Drosophila melanogaster: one gene and its partners. The gene in region 2 interacts genetically with the main gene of each other region. Each region holds a gene or a part of one and is shown on either strand. Other genes may lie near its edges.

Region 1 (3,314 bases), on a different chromosome or scaffold from region 2:
TGGATTGTGCGAGTCTTCAAGTACTGATCCTTGGACTAGGACAATTTCATCCTCTCAGGCGTGACTGCCTATTTCCGGGCTATTTACGCGCCATTAACAATTCCCGGCCGAATTGTAGCTCGTTAGGGAACCAATCATGAAAATATTCGCTGTTGTTTCCTGTCAGGTGCTTAACTCTATGTTGGTTACGAATTTTGAGTGAGTCATGTCCACGCTCCAAAAGTAATTGAATATAAATAATAAATTGGGTAACTTTTTTGTGAAATTATTATTTCTATCGCTAGTACCATTATTAAGCCTGAGGCCAAAACAGCTAAGCTAAAAAATAATAATAATAATATAAAAATACATAAATTAAAAACGAATATCATAACATATATATAGTCAAAGCAATGCTTCAAAATGCAGATTGTTTAAAAACCTTTTTGGCTCTGATGCTGGTATGAGAACGAGAACTCGTTGTAATTACCCTACATGACGATCTGAATATATTTACGAGTAAGTGATTTCAGTAAAAAACATTTGGAATTAAATTTATCAATATGTTTTTATTTTGGCTTAAAAGTAGTTAGTTTAGTGTCTTCCATGCTTATAACAAACTTATAACTATGAAAAAAATATGTCTTCCATTGCGTTAAAATATAATAAAAAAAAATATGGGGTAACTTAGAGGCTAATGTGAAATTTGAGACTTGGTTTTACACTCACTAAGGCAACAATTTAGGGTATTTACAGTTTGTACAATATTTGTTTGTTTGGGACTTTTAGTAAGACCCCTTCACTGCTCTTGCCAAGATGAAATATAATCGAGTAGCTCCTCGTCATCTGGCTGCTCGTCACTGAAGCTATCAAAGGAGTCGAATTTGAGGTCCTGCTCTTGTAGTTCCTGTTTGATATAGCCACCTCCGGAAATCTCGGATCCGGAGTACGACGGCGTGGGCGAGGCGGAGTGGTACGAGTGGGATTGGGCAGACTGGGTGGCTCCCGTCAAGAACTGTTGCGAACTGTCCAAACTATCGTTGTAATCGTTATAGCTGCTGCCATCGTTGCTACTTTCATCGGCGGAATTGTAGATGTGACGAGTTGATGAAGCAGTGCCATCATCAAGCATGTCCTGTAGTCCTCGAATATATTCAACGGCGATTCGCAGTGTGTCCACCTTGGATAACTTCTTGCTGCTACCACGTCCTCCATTGGACAGCGAGTTTACCACAGTTTGAGGCAAATGCTGGCGGAGATTGACGAATCCATTGTTCACCTGCTTCACGCGATTGCGTTCACGGGCATTTCGTCTGGCTACCGATGGCAATTGCTCGCCATAGGGCATGTTATTGTAGTTGAACTTCTTCTTCTGGGAGGACAACATGGGTCCAACATTGGACTGTTGACTCTGCTGCATATTCTGCAGTTGGCTGGTACCCAAAGGTATTTTCGGAGCAATCAACTGGTGCTGCTGCGTTTGATGGTGATGCTGATGTTGCAGCAAGAAAATGTTACTGTTGGTCAGCTGGTAATGCTGCTGCTGGAATTTGCTGCTGCAAATGCTCGTCATGGTAATCCTTGCGAGAGTTTTCTAAGATTTAGTTTACAGATGTTGACTGTGTGGAATCAGATTCCGCAATGATAATTGCTGTTCTGATCTAGGGCTTTAAATACCCGGCAGTGGCAGAGGGAAACGCGCCGCGACAGAGGCAGCGACTTCGGCAGAGGAGCTACAGGGGTTGGTACGGGGTCGGATCCTGGCTACCTGCCCTCGAAAAACCGGGACCTAAGTCCTTTGCACAAGTGATCGTACATTTTTCCTCTCTTTCTAGGGGTTCTTTTTCTGTGGTGGGTGCCTCTATTCCTACTCAGTCTCTGTGTGCCTACCTACCCATCCTTTTCCCTCTCCCACACACTCTTTGTCCTTTGTGTCCGTCTACATAATGCATTTTTTCCTTTTGGGAAAATTTTAAATCTCAGATCTGCAAGATCCTTGTCATGGCTAAAAAAAAAGATTTTGAATGCACTTCCACTTTTGTCGAATGTCGTTTGCATTGAAAGCGAAAAATAAAGGAGAGTGAGATCTTGGAAGGGAATTTGATATAAAATGTGATCCATCAAATGAAAGAAAATGATGCGAAGGCAAAAGAAACAAACTTAAAAGACCATGTCGTGGGACTTTCACTGTCTTTAAAACTGCGTATCCACTTTTATATCCTGTAATGTTATGAACCTTCATTAATATTTTTTCTGACCCATCTGCATTTGACACGTGCTTCCGATCAGTCCGGTGCATTAGCATAAGCTTCAAAACAATGATACATAACATCGCAGAGCGGCGCAGACAAAATCCCACAAGTGTGTGCTGTATCATGAATACCAAGCGTACTATAATAAGTAAGGGGACGGCCAGACAAATAAAAACGAAACCATCACAAAGGCATTGAATATTGACAGCAGTTGGGATCAAAGTTGCAGTCGAAACACTCTTACCCTTTCATCAAACGCTTGTGATACAAGAAAGCGATCTAAATTTGGGCTGTGCACTCGACAAAAAATGTAATATTTCTGACTGGTTAATATATGTCTTGTATGAACAAACAAAAACTGAATTCAATTAATTTGCATAACTCATTAAATCGTATTAAGGCTACGATGCAATTTAAAATATTTTTTTGGGAAAATATTTTGATAGTGTTGCATTATTGAATAAATATTTTCTTTTAAAGATAATTATTTCGTGGAATACTTCTAAAAATCGAATGGCAGTTTTGATTTTAAAGCATGAAGCATTTGTGTTGCTTTAATATCAAGACATCACTCATAATCAGGTTTAGTTCTAAATTATCAAATTAGTATGTCGAAAAGCATTAAAAAAGGTCTTTAAATGTTATTTGACTAGCAAATTAGTATTTCAAAAAGCTTTAAAAAATGTTATGTCTTTATTTATTTGCTGCTTGCTGTAGGGTTGTGACTTATTATGCCCAGTCCAAGAAAGTAAAGTTATTCCGTTTACCAACAATCCCCCTGCAATTAAATTAAGCATTCATAAATCTGTAAGGAGCTGAATCTGAAACAAATTTCTGGATTCGCAACTTGCAACTTTGTTGCAATGGGAAGGCAATACCGTTACCGAAGACGGATAAGTCGAGTTACGAGATTGCTCCCATAAATGCATAAAATCTTAAAAAAAGCCATAAGCAGCTGCCCTAAAGGAGATCAGAAAATTAGAGGAAATTGATCCCACAAGAATGAACGCTGAAAATCATAATAAAGCAAAAAAAAAAAAAAAAAAAAAACACCATTTACCTAATAATTGGTTTTTAAAAGTT
Region 2 (4,925 bases):
TGGGGAGAGCGAAATAAAGCTAAAATATGCATGTTGGAGAAAAAATGCCGCCCATGTCGCCAAAATGCGCCACACGCAGAGTGAGCGGGCGGAGGTGGGAGTAATGGAAAGGGCGATGAGGGAACGATTAGCTTGAAGAGAGAGAACAACAAATGAATGTGCTGCAACGTTAGTTCAGGTGAGCGAGTTAGAGAGAGAGTTGTTGTTTTTTGATTGTAATAGCTCGCTTGGTGGTGGGTCCACATTCACATCTCCCTCTCCCACTCTTTCTCCCCGAAAGAGAGAGCGGGAGCGAAGGGGCACGAGGGGAGCACGATGACTATGCAGTTGCATTCAATTTGAATTTCCATGGTGCTGATGATTCGAGCGCCAATTTTTTCGAAGAGTTCTTATTTGTTTACTTCGTTGTTGTTGCCTCAATTGGAAAGGGAAAATGTGGAATGCGGAGAAACACCAGAAGCAAATGCATTTCCATTCATAAATCCAAAGAAGTTTTAAAGATAACATGTCATTTGGCTTAAGTTCGTGGTGCACAAAAAAGATCGGTTTGCGGTTGTCGCATGAAAATGAGTTTATTCCATTGGTATATTATTATTCAGAAATTAAAAAAAAACTTGTTTAGTCTATTTTTTTTTTTTAAATAAAAAAAAAAAATTCTTTTATAAGTCGATTTTAGAGTAAATATTTAAAGACTACGTCTAATAAACATATAATTTGTTCTGTGTTTTAATTTGCCGGCAAAAACAAACCTACTTGTGTGGTCCTCGCACACTCATAACCCCTCGCATATTTGAGATTCATGGGGCAAAGAGGCTGCAAAAACAATGGAAAGGGAAAAGCAGAAACATCCTGCCGCTCATAATTTAGCATCGGAACATGCAAAAACAGACATCATCGCATGGGGCAGCAGCAACAGCCATAAAACCAACAACACGAGCAATGTAAAGCTAACAAATTTGCCAACAGTTCGCGGCACGGCTACACACACACACATGCATGCGCAGCCTGCCACGCACGCGCTTCCCCCAAACAAATACACACACACACACTGAGACGAAAGCTCCATTGGGCAGCGCTGCCGACGCTGAAGGCCGACATCGGCAGAGCTGAACGTTTGGGTAGGGGACCACCCACATCGCTTGGCGGTTTCAGTTTAATGAAGGCAGAAACAAATTTATTTTTGGGTGGTCCACACTGCAGCGAAAATAAACTACAGTGGCAACAACAAACCAGCAGCCAAGGCACTTTGGGTGGTCCATGCAAAAAAAAAACAAATTACGGCATGCGAATAACAATAGAAATTAGCGCTCTCGTGGCGGAGCTATTTGGGTATATTAGAGCTACATATTTTATTTGTTTATAAAAAGTATAAATGTAAACAATGAGTTCCAAGCATTAAGTCCGTATGCTCAACAATTACATTATCATTATTATTATCACTTAAATATTTACAAAGGATATTTAAACAGTAATAGATATATATTTTATTTCTTAATTTCTGTTAACATATGTATTTACATTGGTAGTTATTCTTTATTTTGCAACAAGCATTCATAAATTTTATATAACAAACTTGGTATTTTCTCGGAAAAACTCCTGAATCACCCCTCGGTATTTTGTGCGTTGAGCTATCGTTAAAGCAGCCCTCGCAGAGAGCGTTCTCAAACCAAAATGGCCGCACACGAAACAAGAGAGCGAGTGAGAGTAGGGAGAGCGTCTGTGTTGTGTGTTGAGTGTCGCCCACGCACACAGGCGCAAAACAGTGCACACAGACGCCCGCTGGGCAAGAGAGAGTGAGAGAGAGAAACAGCGGCGCGCGCTCGCCTAATGAAGTTGTTGGCCTGGCTGGCGTGCCGCATCCACGAGATACAGATACATCTCTCAGACTGCGTGCGATCCTCGAACGAAACGGTTGTAAGTGCGGAGCGCGACGACTTGTTATTCGTATTTCCGACTACTGGCACTCTCTGTGTGTGGTATACTAACAAGATAGATATCACAGAACTCGTGGAAAAGCTAAGATATTGTACCTCACGGATGCGAGGCGAAGTTCATGGATTAAATGCCAGGCAACAACAAAAGCCAGCCAACCAGCCAGTGTTTGTGTGTGTGCGTCGCCAAGTGCAAAGTAAAGTAAAGGTAAAAGAGCGAAAGGCGAGAGAGAAAACCGAATACGTGAGTCGTCCGACTGCCGCTTTTCCATGTGTAAAAGATCTGTGAAAATTCTGTCAAATTCCCCTGAGAAATTGTGCCCAAGATAAAACCCGAAAACCGCGTTTTAATCGTCGAAAAAACCCAGCAAAAGCGAAGCCAGCAATCACAACAAAACAACACAACGAGAGCTCAGATACACAGCGTGCTCAGTGAGTGAGCGAGAGAGCGCGGGAGAGAGCGTCTCTTGATTTAAAATACAAAATAATTAAAAATAAAAATGCGGAATGCAGTGCAAAATGCAGCCAAACAAAATACGAGATTCCAATAACAATTAATCGAACCGAAAGTCCACGAACAATCCGCACACTGTCTCCCAAGTCTCAGTTCTCAGGACGCAGACGAACGGCAGGCACTGTAGAAAGACCGATTCCGCAGCACACTCCCATCTGCACATCTCCGCCACGCGATTCCGTCCGGAATCTGGCTATAAACATAACCATAATGGACCGCGACAGCCTCCCACGCGTTCCGGACACACACGGCGATGTGGTCGATGAGAAATTATTCTCGGATCTTTACATACGCACCAGCTGGGTGGACGCCCAAGTGGCGCTCGATCAGATAGATAAGGTGAGTGCCCAACTACAGTGAACTTTCACTGTGAAGGATAGCCATGTGTTGAATTCAATAATATTCTTGAATCGTATTCGGAGGATCCTTTATAAGTTTAAATGGAAAATCTGGCTCTTTCGAAACTTTTGTTAGTAATCCCTTTTACTTTAAATTAAGCAAAAGATTTGAAGTATTAAGTAAATTTACAATCTTTTTAAAATTTGAAATTGTTATATTGTACAATTCTTGTCATTAGAATATTGAGACACTTAACTAAAAACCATGATGTAGAAGTTCGACTGTAAATCCGAAGAGCAGCGGCTTTTGTTTAATGCGGCCATTAAGTCGCCGGGACAGATTTCAATAAATTTTATTGCCAATATCTCTCGCAATATTTTTCGCGTTTTTTTCGTCGCCGATGTCTTCTTCGCCGGTCGTTTCGATTTCATTTCATTCGTTTCGTTTTCTTTCGTTCGATTCCCTGGTTAATATAGTTGTCTGATGTTCGCTTGCCAGGCAGCCTATTAATTACAGTGATTAGTTGAAATCCACGCCAATCGGCTTATATGCTAATTTTGCTATTTCGTTCTCTGGACATAAAAAGCGTGGAGGATTTACCTCCAAATATAGACATTTGTTTATGAAACTATTCGCCGTAAAAGTAGACGGAATAACCCTTTCGCTGCAGTCTAAAACTACAACAAATTGGATGTTTTACCAATCTTGTTAGTATTTATTCTCTGTGCACCGCCATCAATCCACATCTATTTTCGCTGCGCAGACGTAGACACACAGCAGGACTTTCGTACTCGTTTCGCCGATCCCAAACCGACCGATCCAACTCCAGACGGACATATCCACAGACAACTTCATTACTTTGGCGCTACTGTGCGCGGCTGGTCCGAAACCGCAAACCGAACAATAACAACTGCAACTGCAACTGCGGCGAGCGCCAAAAACAGCTAGGCAAAAACTGGGCAGCAGCAGCAGCAGGAGTTCCGTCCAGCAGTCGAAAGCAGCCGAAAAGGCAAAAAGCAGAAAGCTTTGGCAGCCGCAGCAAAAATAATAAACAACGCCAGCAACAACTTGCCCAGCATTCTGCTGGTGTGGGTTCGTATCTGTGTGTGTGGTTGTGTGTTGCCTTCCAACATGGGTGGGCGCCGAGGTCTCCGCGAGAGTCATTTCGTACGTGATGCTGCTGGCTGGACTGCCATTGGCCACCCCCTTCCAGCCGCTCTTTTCGGAGCCGCCCCACCCCTCCATCGCCCCAATGCCCCACCGCCCCAGTCAACGCTCCTCAGATGCTCTGTGATACGAGTTGTGGGGCGACTTCGGTTGGGAATTCTTCGCAGATTGATTAGAAGCATGCGTGACGTAATGAGTAATCTATATAATTTCGAAACAATTTGCTTTTTGGCTCTGCACTATGAGATTGATTAGCAAGCGTTTAGTCTAATTAAATGTCAATAAATGAAGGGCGCACATATTTTCATTACTATTTATATAGATTTTTTTTTATTGATCTTGAAGGTATAGTTCAGAAGGTAATATTTCCAATATAGTTGTGAACTCTAAAAAGAGCAGCATGCAGTCTTATATCCATTTTCGTTGCCAAAAGCATTTCAGTTTGCTGCTGTTATTCCCACCCATGCAAATGAAGCAGCCAGTGATCGTTTTTCGGGTTGGGATCGGGCCATTGAATGCGGGTGGCCCAAAAAGCGGAAAAAAAGAAAAGAGCCAAGGAAAAAATTTTACTGACGCACGCGCTTTGTTGTTGCTGACTCTGCTCGCGCAGTGACTTCCAAACTGTGCTACACTGAAAAAGAAACAACCGTTTACAAATAATAACGCTTACATGGCAAAAGTAAGAATTGATTTCCAGACAGAATTGATTTCCTAGTTAAACTTGCGAACTTTACGATAGTTTATCCTTAGGGTTAGTAACATATTTCAAAGATGGAAGTGCAGTAAACATTTTGAGGAAAACTCAGTTTTTCTGTGTGGACCGCCTCAAGTTTTCTCGCTGCTTCGCTGATGCTTTTTACAGCTTGATGTCTTCATCATTGTTGCAGTTGCAGTTCCTTGGCGACCGCGTGGCGTGTCTTGCTCTGTTGTTGTTCCCCCTCATTCCCCCGCCCCATCTCGTTTCCCCATCGAGT
Region 3 (6,359 bases), 2.9 Mb from region 2:
CTTGCCAGTAAATGTCAGCTGCTCATCCCGCCCCCTCCCACAATTTTGCATTGCATTTCGCGTTTGCATTTATTTTCAGCAAATTAACGCCGCTCGCCGCGAGATCTGTGCCAATAAATCATTTGATGACTGCTCCCTGCCGCTTTAGTTTTGCATTTTTTTTTTTCTTTCTGTTTGTTGGGCTTCTGTCTCGTCACAGATATTTGTTTATACTACGCGCGGATTTGGCTTTAATTAAACGGAATGGAATCGAAGAGCAAGAGCTGCCGTTACTCGTCGACGGCCTCCGATTTTGGTTCGGAATGTGATTGTGCAATTAGCGGCACCCTCGCCCGACGACAAGTGTTCGTGATTTAATGTTCTATAGCCTTTGATGTGACAGATGAAAAAGCGTAGAGAAGATAATGGCGCCCTACACAAAGTACAAATAAGGCCACCGATTAGACCGCATGTCCTCCGATATATGGGTGGCATATTTTCCTTTAATGTAGCAGACTTCCAATTCCCAGAGGAAACCAATTGCATTTTAATTTTTTTCCATAATTCTTTTATTTTGTTTTTAATTTTCTTTTCATGAACTTGCTTTAGCACAAACATTTCGTTGTTATTTTCTTAGGTGCATTTGCCAGCTATTAGTTGCTCGTTAACATTTCGCTTAGAAACTAAAATACTCTTTCATAGCAATCCTTAAGTGTGTAAACTAGGAATTAAGCTAGGGAACTGTTAAGTTACTTAATTTACAGAGCGGTTGCAAGCGCGTAATTTATAGGGAGTAATAACTATAGATAGTGTTTTGTGTAGGAATAAACGTCTGAAGGTCGAAGCTTTTGAAGTGCGGCGATAGCGATAGGCTTTGTGTCGGGTGATTACGATAATACTTTCGGCTATCCAGGGGTGGTTAAATAAATACGCCAACAACTTACAGCTCGAATTCGCTACGGATGGGTCTTACTCTAGGTTAGGATTATACGTATATATATATATATTTTTAGAGATATATACAAAAACATATGTACGCTACAATTATATCACATGAAAACCATTTGTACGCCCTCGAATATTGCACGCCCCCGTCAGAAGGAGTAACCCCTTATGGGTAACCATTGGTCAGCGCTTAGGGGATCTGCCCGTTCATGCGCATCTCGAGCTCCTCCTCCTCCTTGGTCAGCGGCACGGTGGTGTGGTTGTACAATCCCTGGGCCATCAGCTGCAGTGCCAGCGGATTTTTGGAGCCCGTCGACTTCTTGATCTTGGCCCGCTTGTTCTGGAACCAGATCTTGATCTGCGCCTCGTTCAGGCCCAACTCGCTGCTCAGCTGCTGGCGTCTCCGCTCGGTCAGATAGCGATTCTCGTTGAACTCCCGCTGTAAGTGGAAGAAATGGAATGCTGGATGAGTTTCGGATGGCAAGGATATCCATGTTGTATAGTCAGGTAGGGAAAATCAATTATTTGCGGTTTCGGCCGAGCGTGGCTGATTGGTTAAGTACGGACGGGACACCACATTGCCAGGATGCATTAGCAGCGGGCGGTGTCAATATTTTGGTGCAAATATGACACAACAAGCGTAGGGCAATTGGATATGGATATGGATGGATATTGGTATAACCATATAACCATATATGGAAAAAAGAACTGAATCTCACCTTAAGGCGGGCCAACTGCTCGCTGGAGAACGCGGTGCGTGGACGCTTCTCGTCGTTGGTCTTGTCCTTTGGCTGTTTGGGGCGGCGGTAGCGGGGTCCTGGAATAAACAAAAACACGAGAAATACGTTAGTTCTATTTGCATAAATGCGCCACATACTATTAATAATATTAATGATTCAATTAGCATATGTCTGGGCGGAATTCCTCGGCCGGAGCTGGAGCTCCCTTTCGCGTGCTGGCGGGGAAGTGTTCAATTTGTCAGCTGTCAGCGCAAGAGAAGAGTAGAACTCCGGCGAGTTAACGAACCCAAAGGTCTACGGCATATTTTAGGCAAATGATTTGCCAGCTAGCCAACTCTCTAATTAGCGACTAAGTCCAAGTCACCGGCTAATTGGCAACGCGGCACCGCAGCAATCCGTAGTGCTTATTAGATTTCCACACATTGTAAATTATAATTTAATTGACCGCCAGTAAGTGGAGATCGTTTGATTAATTCCTAGCCGCGGAGTGGGGCCATCAACGCCTCGCTTATGGGCTGCCATCGATTGCATCGACACCAAATTAAAAAACCATTGCCGACCATAAAAAAGCACTTAACTCGTCAATTAACACACGATCTAAGAAGAGCTGCAAGGAAAATCTCCGCTTGTCAATGGAAAACTCTTCTCCTTTCGAAGGGGCTTCCCCCGCCATCATATCTCCCCCGCACCTACTTTTCCCCTGTCAATCGTCAGCGCGTTTTAGGGTCTCGGCTTCTGCGTGGCGTGTGTGCGTGAGCGGTGACCTTCGACCTGAGGATCTAACAGTTCCGATAGACAAGCGCTGGCTCTGCGCTACATGTTGTCACATAAAGTGTCGCTCTTCAAAAGCAGCGCAGCACTGCGTGAGGCCCAAAATCGGATTCGGATTCGGATACGAAATGGGAATGGGAATGGGCATGGTTATAGAAATGGGAGTCAGATTCGGGCTCATTGCCATTGTCCGCGTGTCGCCTAATTGTGGCAGTGTCCTTCGGATTTATGACACAAAACAGAGCTGCTTGAAAGGCTGCCGCCAACATAACGCTCCCCAAGGGTGGTCCCCATGTAACCATATACCATTTACCATTTTCACATCTTTTTTTTTTTAACGAACCTTTGGGACTTCCTTGTTTTGACAACACTGAAGATGGTGCCCGACGAACCCTCTTTCTGACCCACTTAAACGCTAGGTAATCGCATAGATACTAACCTGAGCTGGGACGATCGCTGTAGCGGGTGCAGTACACCCAGGCGGGCCACATCTCGTTCTTGCCGCCCTCTGTGGTGGTGGATCCCGTCTCGGAACGCGTGTCATCCGAGGACTCCATTCCGGAATCTCGGCTAACGGCGGATGGCGGCGGGATTGGCTGCGGCTGGGGACTGCTGGCATTGACTCCGGATCCACTGGCTCCCAGTCGGCTACTGGGCGAGGAGTTCAAGGAACTGGCCGCCGAGGAGCAACCCGACGAGGAGGAGCTCGAGCTGGTGGCCACGGAAGAGGTGCTGCTAATGGTCGAGGCATTGGAGGCGGGTGGCGGACTGGCCAAGCTGCTGGCACTGCTACTCAGCGGAGGTTGGGTCATCGTAGGGGCAGCAGGTTGTCCGATCTGCGAGACCGCCTTGCACAGGGATCCCAGAGCAGATTTCTCTGGATTGGCATCGCTCATCTTGGAGCTCATGGGCGGCGGGATGACGGCATTGGCTGCACTCCTGCGCAGCCGACTCTGCACGATTTCCTCGTGTATCCTGGGATAGGCAGCCGGATTGAAGCAGTTAAGGAAGTTGGCCCGTTCCAGCATCATGGCCGCAGTAGCGGCTGCGGCGGCAGCCTGCTGTTGCCGGCTAAACTCCAGCAGATCCACTCTTGTAAAGGCGGAGGGCGTGGCAGTCTGGGAACGACTCGCCTCGAAGGGGCGGAATATGCTGGCCTGGTTCTCCATCGACTTGCCCGGCTTCTGGACATCTCCGAAACGATCGCTCAGGATGTTGGAGATGGAAAAGGCCAGCGAGGGCTTGGCCGTCGACTGCTGCTGGTGGGCGGGTGGTGGCAGGCGTCCGCCCGCCGACGTATCATCCACATCCACATCAATGTCGTCATCCTCCTCCGCCTCCTCCTCCTCGTTGGTGGTGTGCGTCTGATTGTGGAAACTCATGTCACCGATCACGGAGTCGCTTTCCTCCTCCTTGATGGTCAGCGGCGTGGACGAGGCGGGCGTGGAGCAGGATGCGGGCGATCCACTGCCACTGAGGCGCTGCTGCAGTGCAGCAGCATGAGCGTGGGCGGCCGCAGCAGCAGCTGCAGCAGCGGCGGCTGCAGCGGCATCGAAGGCCATTGCCGGATGGTGGAAGACACCGGCGGCCAGTTGCTGTTGGTGCAACTGCTGCAGTTGCTGCAGCTGGTGGAGGTGCTGCATTTGCTGCTGCTGTTGCTGCTGCTGCTGTTGCTGGTGGTGAAGATGCTGCATTTGTAGGGTAATGGGGCTGGGCGCTGACTGTGGACTGCAGCGATCCTCCAGGGCCATTGGTTTCGACTTGGTGCTAAATCGCAACTCGCTTAAGACACTTGTCACTGGGTCACTTGACACTGAGCCACTGATTCTTCTGATTGCTCAGAATCTTCTGATTCTCTTCTCTGTTTGGTGTTTTTTGTTTGGCTTATGCTTTCGTGTTTGATTTGCAACTGTTGTTCCGACACGCACGTCTGTTCACATCGAGCGCAACGACTGAATTAGTTGACTACTTCGGAATCGCAGCGCCGACGTCGGGGAGAGTTAACGCGAGAGCCGATTGAACTGTCACGGTGGAAAGAGAGGTCCGAGTGCGGGAGCGAGAGGGCGAGATCCCACAAGTAGCTGGCGAAGTGTGTGCGAGCGAGCGAGTGAGTGAGTGACAGCAGTTGGTGACAGTGACATGAAGAGATGAGAGTAGAAGATGTGTCTTTTCGGCCTTACACTGATCGATTTTCGCTCTCTCTTAGCCTTGTCACCTGCCCCATGCGAACCGGTTTCGCCGGCTCACTCACTCCTATTAGCTGGCCAGAGCGCTCTCTCGCTCGCTCCCTCTCGCTCTCACTCTCTCTTGCCAATTTGGCGAGGGGGGCTTGTTAGGCAGCAATATGACTTTATTATGCGCATGCTGGAGCTGTCAGCCGGTTGACAACTGTGTCCCCAGCGAACTGCGCAGGCGCAAGCTCTCCCTCTCTCACGGGGCGTTACCGAGTGGGGGTCATATAGCGGCACTGTTCACTCCCTCTGCGAGTAGGCCAGGAAAATGGCTGCCTTTCCATGAGGGGGAGAGCCACATGCCATCTCTTTCCACAGACACTTTTCATAAGCATTTAGTTTTTGTTGATTTTGTTTTCGGCCGCGACGTTTCAATCTGCGTTTTCTACAGCCTACAACTTTATCGACACCACCTTTAGGCCATGTGTAGAGGGGGAATCGAAAGAGAGGAAAAAAACCGCAAAGCTAATTGTTTTAATTTAAATGAAGGGAAACTTTTTATCACCCCCACTCCCACCACCAGTATCATTTGCGATTTTTCACAAAAATACGCTAAATACACGATGACAATTTATTTTTGAGGCCTTCAATTAACCAGTTAAATGTGCCTTGAAAAACAGCTGACGAAATTGATTGATATTTAATTGACATTTAATTTATTTATTTGCCCATCGAATATCGATTTGCCAGACGAGCGAATGAAAAACCATCGCTAACTGTCAAAATAAACCTTAGAAGGTGTTAAAAACGAACGCCATTTGGCATTGGACATTAACAATAACGCTTTTTTGTGGGGCTCTAATCAACCGACGATCTACAAATGTGAAACATGTGCTGCAAATAGTGTATAGATGTGGGATTCCGAACATATAACCACTGATATATAGCTCATAAATCAACGAATCTGTTCGATGTGAATAAAACCGAAATCAAATAACGAAATCGCTAATGAATTGCCTTATAGCTAGCAGATTTTGTTGTGTTAATTTTTGCATAATAAAAGCGATCGTTGCCATGTGGGCTACTGATTTATGGGGCAAAGGATTTAATTAGAGAGTAATCTCGCCACCACTCACACTCCCACATTTCCTGTTGCCAATTGTGACATAAGCAATTCGCGCCAACAAACTAACGCCCAAACAATAAGCCATAATCCATATTTAGAGCAAATTTCGTGGTTAACCTGTTCCACAATCAATGGGCCGAAATTTATTCAATTTTTATGCGCATTTTTATAAGTATCAAATGGACTTGAATCGAATATAAATTAATAAATATATTTGAACAGCTCAGATGCATAAATTGAAATTCCGTTGAGTGGTCTTAACCGTTTCGATTCGATCTTAACCGGTTCGAACGCACCTTCCAGTCTGCGGTCAGCCATTAAAAGTCGAAGTTGGAAAAACTGGAAACTGGAACGGAGCCAAATCTATTTCCCCTTTTGAATTTCGAACTTCGAATAGATAGTTGTCTCACTCGCTCTCGCACTGTGCGCTTCTCGCTCACTCTGCCCTGCTCTCTCACGCATGACAACAATGGCTGCTGCCTCTCTCTCGCACACCCCCTTTGACCATCTTCCTCTTACACATTCCGCTGTTGCCGTCGGCAGCTGTTGATTTTCCGCTCAACTTCCACCCTTCCACACCGTTCCATTCCCCTACACACTTTCCGCTTTGATTGCCATGATTTTCAA
Region 4 (5,053 bases), on a different chromosome or scaffold from region 2:
GGAGCCCTGGCAATAGAAGTCACCCAAGTCGGAGCACAAGGAAGTGGACCATTCGTCGAGGATGCAGTTTTCCTTGGTGTACTCCCTAATCACCTGCCTCAGTCTCTTGCTGGGTATCCTGCCAGCGTCTGTTTCCTCGTCGCCCAAGTGCTGCTTCAGGAATTCATGCTTTTGCTTGCAATTCCGGTCAAACATCATGGAGAAAAAGTCGCAACCGATGAGCAGGTATCGAAACTTCTCCAGCACAGAGTTTATCACTTGTCGGGCCTTGGCATTTTGGCGGTACAAGGGATTGCGGGTCAGCTCCTCCTTGGCCTTATAGTAGTAGCCTCGCACACGTGTCTGGGCACGTGTGGCCATAGCTTCCTCCTTAGAGTGGAAGCGCTCCTCGCCGCCCGTGAACCACTCCACGTGCTCGGCCTTTAAGCTGAGGTGGGTCTTGCTGTTATCCAGGACGCGTCGCTGCTTTTGGTGTTCATACTCCGTTATCATGCGGCGGAACTTTTCCGGATGCTGTTCGATAAAATCGTAGAAAATGTCAGCCACCTTTAGCAAAGGCGATTGTTGTCGCATCTTCTCAAACTCAAAATCGGCATCTAATAGAAGACAGATTAATTGTGATTAAGTTAAATATTTAAACTGCAGCTCACCTGTTGTAATGACTGCATCCGGGCCAGACACTATGAACAGCGTCTGGGCGGGTAGGCTTTTTAAGTACTCATCGTCGGACACCTCGAAGCCATCAGAAGCCAAATACAAATGTGGCTCGAGAAGCTAAAAGGTAAAAAAAAAACGATTTAATTGTAATGCCCTTGACATGGCCGAATTATAACGAGGCCAGGTCGCCCAATTCCTGGTTCAGGGGCCTTCAGTTTGTTTCACATTTCTCTTTTTTTTTTTTTGCCAGGCAAGGACGTTCCATCAACAGGTGGTTAGCTCTACTATACAGGACATGCGCATTGGCATTTACTAGTGGCATTGAAAGAGAGCCAAACAAACGCGGAAGCCACTGCCAGGGACATGGCCTTGAAAATTACCAGAGCCAGGAACTTTCAGCCCATCTACGTGGGTGGGTGTATATTTCGCGCTTTTACGCAGGAGTTTTTCCTGTTTTTTTTTTCTTACCGGGAACTTGCTTTTTGCCTTGGCTATCAGCATTTCCAGGGAATTGGCTCCGATTCCGTATTTCCTCGTTCGCTCGTTGTCAGTAACCTTGTAGCCACGCATTGGAGCACCTGCTGTTCCCCTGGATTCGGATGAGCTCACATCCTTGAGAACTTCGCCTGTTGGCTGGCTGCTTTTCTTGTTATTCGAGCTGCTGCGTGTTGTCGGTGACATGATTGCATCTCTAATGTAGCTGATCATCGTTCTGGCTCATAATAAAGTCAACTTTGGAATGTAGTCCTCGCAGCAAGTTTCCTTATCCGCGGACAAAGCAAAATAAACTAGCAGAACAAGGCATTTTTCGCGCTTCTCAACACTAGATTCTCATTGAAAGATTCTTTAGTTGTGCTGCAATTTTAGCTAAAAATTGCAAAAAGCTATATAATAATAATTTATTTTTTCCCGTGTTTTGTAATTAACGAAATATTTTTTATATTTTTATTAATCAATTCAAATTGATAAAATTTTCATTTATTCTTAAATTAAATAATGTGTAAATTAATAAAATGAAAATAGCCAAATTAATAAAATACAAGTTGAACGGCGCATTTCCCACCACTATTGCCTTCAGTGTTTTGCAGCACTTATGCATCTAAAAACAGCTGTTCGGGTAATCATTTTTTTTGTTAAAAGTTTCTGTGGAAAAACTATAACAAACGTAGTCTTAGTGTACAATGATCTGGGCTACGGGCTCCGCGTAATCCGCAGCTCACCCGGAAAGGCGTTTTACGATGAATCTACGGCCGCGATGCCGCAAGTGGCTGCCCCTAGCCACCCAGCAACTTCGACTGCGGAACCTTAACAGAATTCAGGGATTCAATATTGAGTCCTGGCCGCATGAGAAGTCGCTGGAGCTAGATGATCCGGATGATGTGCTCCTCTACTACACACTACACACGGACAAGGCTAGCGAAGCGTTCTACACCAGCGAAAAGCTGCCGCAGCGTCACCAACAGCAAAAGTGGGCGGAGATTTGTACGGACGACGAGGCCTGGCGGAAAACCAATGCGCAGTGTGTCTGTGTCAAGGTGTGGAAGCACTATTCGGCGGAAAGAAGAGATGGCCAACCGCCTGAGGTTGAGCAAAGACATAAGGATGTTTTCGGGTAAATAGGAGACTTTGCTTGCAAATAGAACTCTGCTATCATCAACCAACTTACTTCCAGAAGATCCCAGTTAACGCCCAGCAGGCTGCCACGCCCTCCTGAACTACTGTTCAGCTGGGGCGTCTACTTCTCCGGCCTTATACCTCTGTCTCCCCTCACATTGTCCCAGTGCGGACGAAATTGCTTGGTCTTTCAATTGAATGGCGAGCAATTTGCCTCCCCGTCGATGATAAGCGAGCAGGCCTTGCAGTCGCAGCTGCATTTGCACTACCAAAAGTATGCGGAGGAAGAGAAACTAGAAGAGCCGCAGGATGAGGGCATAAACTCGCCGGCCGTTAGTCGTAGTTCGAGTCCCGTGCTGCGAATGAGTACGATGCGCTATGCACAGCTGAAGTGCCAACGGCAGGAGATTCGGCGAAGCAACAACCTCGAAAAGCTTCTCACGTTGCAACGTCTGCAACGCTTGCATCAGCAGAAGCGGCGTCAAATGGCCGAGGTTTGCCGAGAAATAGCCCGCCTCAGTGTACACTGTGTGACCAGGAACGAGCTGCGCTTGAAGCCCCGCACGACATCGCTGTCCGGCGACTACTCCGCCCATCAGTACCATTCCATGGGCCGCGCCCTGAGCGTGTTGCTCGCCGAGCAGCAGCAGATCGCGCCCCTCACGCTTTATAATGCCCAGCAGCTAACTAGAAGGATAGAAGCGCTAAGCAGTCAACAGCGGCTACTTAAAGCGGAGCGGGAAACGTTTCGCCAACGAAACGAGCGCACCCGTCAACTTCTGAAGGAGATGAGAGAACAGCGGGAGGCACAGCAATGGGAGCTCCACAGCCAGCGACATCGACTGGAAAAAGAACGTCTGGAGCTACGAACCCTGGCACCTCAACATCTGGAACAGCGCGATCAAAAAAGACAAATAGAACGGCAGGTGGGGCTGCGGAATCAAATAACATTAAACAAGTATATTAATAAACCTTTTCACCCTTTTAAGGTGGAGCGCCGAATGTCCACACTGGTGTTGGAGCTACAGGAGATCTATAACATCCAGAATGTGGGCGGTCGGCAATTTAGTATCTGCGGCATCGCCTTCCCCCACATGGAGCAATACACGAGCGAGTCACGTCAGGCGGCAAACGCACAGCTTCTGGATAACGTCTCGCCGCTGGCAGTGAGTGCGGCACTGGGTTATGTTGCCCATTTGGTGCAGATGTTAGCCATCATTATGGATCGACCTCTGAGGAACCGTATTCTGTACGAGCCATCGAAAGCAAGGATAGTGGACGATATCAAAGAGTTGACGTACACAACAAGAGAGTAAGCACACAGACTAAATATTACCTTTTGGTATCTTATTGTTCCATCTTAGATTTCCTCTGTATACACGCTCCATTTTGCCGTCGCAGCAAACAAAGTATGCCATCTACCTTTTGCGCCAGAATGTTTCGCAGCTGTGCTTCGACATCACGGGCCAGTGCGATCTGCGAAACACTTTTGGCAATCTGCTGGAGCTATTCAGCACTCTTCGCTACATCGAACGAACGCAAAGGGATGAGGTCGACGAACGGGATGGAACTGCAGTTGGAGCTGGCTGTGGAGAAGCACGCTTGGCAAATGGGTTGACGGCGCCGCACCTGTCGCAATCGCACTCTTCGGTCGACATGAATCATGTGCCACTGCCGACTGGCGTCAATGCGGTCAAGGATGCACTGCTCCAGCAGCTGTTGCCGCCGGGTGTGAGTGAGGCACTGGCAATCGAAGGCTATGCGTCAACTCAACGGTAATCTATATATACATATATTTAGAGCCAAAAACAAAAACTACCGGATAAAATTTAATAATAATATATTGTAATATTCTTGCAGCATTTGCCGTTCGGTGGGGTCCTATTCAGATGGCGAGGATGAGTTTCGCCCGCGACTGGAGCATAACTATTCCAATTCGGACTCCAACATAACTCTGCAAACTGAGCGCAGCTGAGCTAATGCACCCAAAAGTGTTATATTTCCAGCGTTTATATCCAATATCCAAGATAGCATTGTTTAGCGGCTCCTCCTCAGCGGGTTTCTTGGTATTGGCCGCGTATTGTATACTTTTAAATTATAAAAGTCAATGGTGAAGTATATGTGAACGGTAGTCCATTGCGATAATATTATTTTTAGTTGTTTAAGATCTCTGTGTAAATTCCCTTTTATTGTTTGTTTGCTAATATAAGCTACGAATAAAGATTAAATATTTTATACATGACAAATATTTATTTAATATGGATGACAAACATTAGAAACACGTCGATAGAGATTAAGTCGAACAATATCCAAGGTCACAATAAACGAAGTGGTTACGATGCGGAAAACCTAAGCCTTTCTTCATATGTTCTGAAATAATGCTGAGCCCCAAAATTAGTTTATTTGTATATTCTGTTTGAAAAGTATTTTTATGAGTTTTAATTATAGTTTGAATTAGGCGCCAAAAAGTGTTGCAAAGTATGAAGATAAATTGCTCCTTTAACTTATAAAAATTATACCATGTGCTACTGTTACTACATAATATTGTACAATCTGCTTATATTAACTTTTGCTTTATAATTTAAAATGTAAGTTTTGCTTTAAATCCTTAATAAACTCAAAATATTACAGCCACTGCTTGGTCAGTGCTGCAAAACGTTCCGTTCCGTTAACAGTGGTCTGTAAAGCCAGCTGATTAGCATTTCGCCAAAATTATTTCGCTGGCAACTTGCTTCCGGGATTTGAATGTTTTTCGGGCTACATCCGGGCTATTAATAAATAA

What was found.
Region 1: of ptc (region 2) and l(1)sc, changing one enhances a phenotype caused by changing the other (phenotypic enhancement), as found in Drosophila melanogaster (one study listed by BioGRID).
Region 3: of ptc (region 2) and en, changing one suppresses a phenotype caused by changing the other (phenotypic suppression), as found in Drosophila melanogaster (one study listed by BioGRID).
Region 4: of ptc (region 2) and Uvrag, changing one enhances a phenotype caused by changing the other (phenotypic enhancement), as found in Drosophila melanogaster (one study listed by BioGRID).

Annotation. Positions count from the first base shown.
Region 1 is NC_004354.4:408,034-411,347, reverse strand, and holds l(1)sc (lethal of scute), read right to left. Parts: upstream 1,628-3,314; 5' UTR 1,553-1,627; coding exon 779-1,552; 3' UTR 531-778; downstream 1-530. UniProt on the Drosophila melanogaster protein: AS-C proteins are involved in the determination of the neuronal precursors in the peripheral nervous system and the central nervous system.
Region 2 is NT_033778.4:8,647,767-8,652,691, forward strand, and holds the start of ptc (patched), read left to right. Parts: upstream 1-1,882; 5' UTR 1,883-2,655; coding exon 2,656-2,784; intron 2,785-2,930; exon of another isoform or gene 2,931-3,287; intron 3,288-3,484; exon of another isoform or gene 3,485-3,730; intron 3,731-4,925. UniProt on the Drosophila melanogaster protein: Segmentation polarity protein. Acts as a receptor for the hedgehog protein (hh). Associates with the smoothened protein (SMO) to transduce the hedgehog signal leading to the activation of wingless, decapentaplegic and patched itself.
Region 3 is NT_033778.4:11,523,485-11,529,843, forward strand, and holds en (engrailed), read right to left. Parts: upstream 4,727-6,359; 5' UTR 4,187-4,726; coding exon 2,875-4,186; intron 1,742-2,874; coding exon 1,644-1,741; intron 1,364-1,643; coding exon 1,115-1,363; 3' UTR 522-1,114; downstream 1-521. UniProt on the Drosophila melanogaster protein: This protein specifies the body segmentation pattern. It is required for the development of the central nervous system. Transcriptional regulator that represses activated promoters. Wg signaling operates by inactivating the SGG repression of EN autoactivation.
Region 4 is NT_033779.5:13,285,045-13,290,097, forward strand, and holds Uvrag (UV-resistance associated gene), read left to right. Parts: upstream 1-1,732; 5' UTR 1,733-1,895; coding exon 1,896-2,269; intron 2,270-2,329; coding exon 2,330-3,197; intron 3,198-3,257; exon of another isoform or gene 3,258-3,260; coding exon 3,261-3,583; intron 3,584-3,607; exon of another isoform or gene 3,608-3,635; coding exon 3,636-4,046; intron 4,047-4,131; coding exon 4,132-4,246; 3' UTR 4,247-4,512; downstream 4,513-5,053. Other genes in the region: Drep4 (DNA fragmentation factor-related protein 4), read right to left, coding at 1-596, 651-774, 1,126-1,365. UniProt on the Drosophila melanogaster protein: Involved in biosynthetic vesicle transport to lysosomes. Acts as a cell growth regulator. Also has a crucial role in controlling organ rotation by regulating membrane-localized Notch receptor endocytosis and subsequent degradation.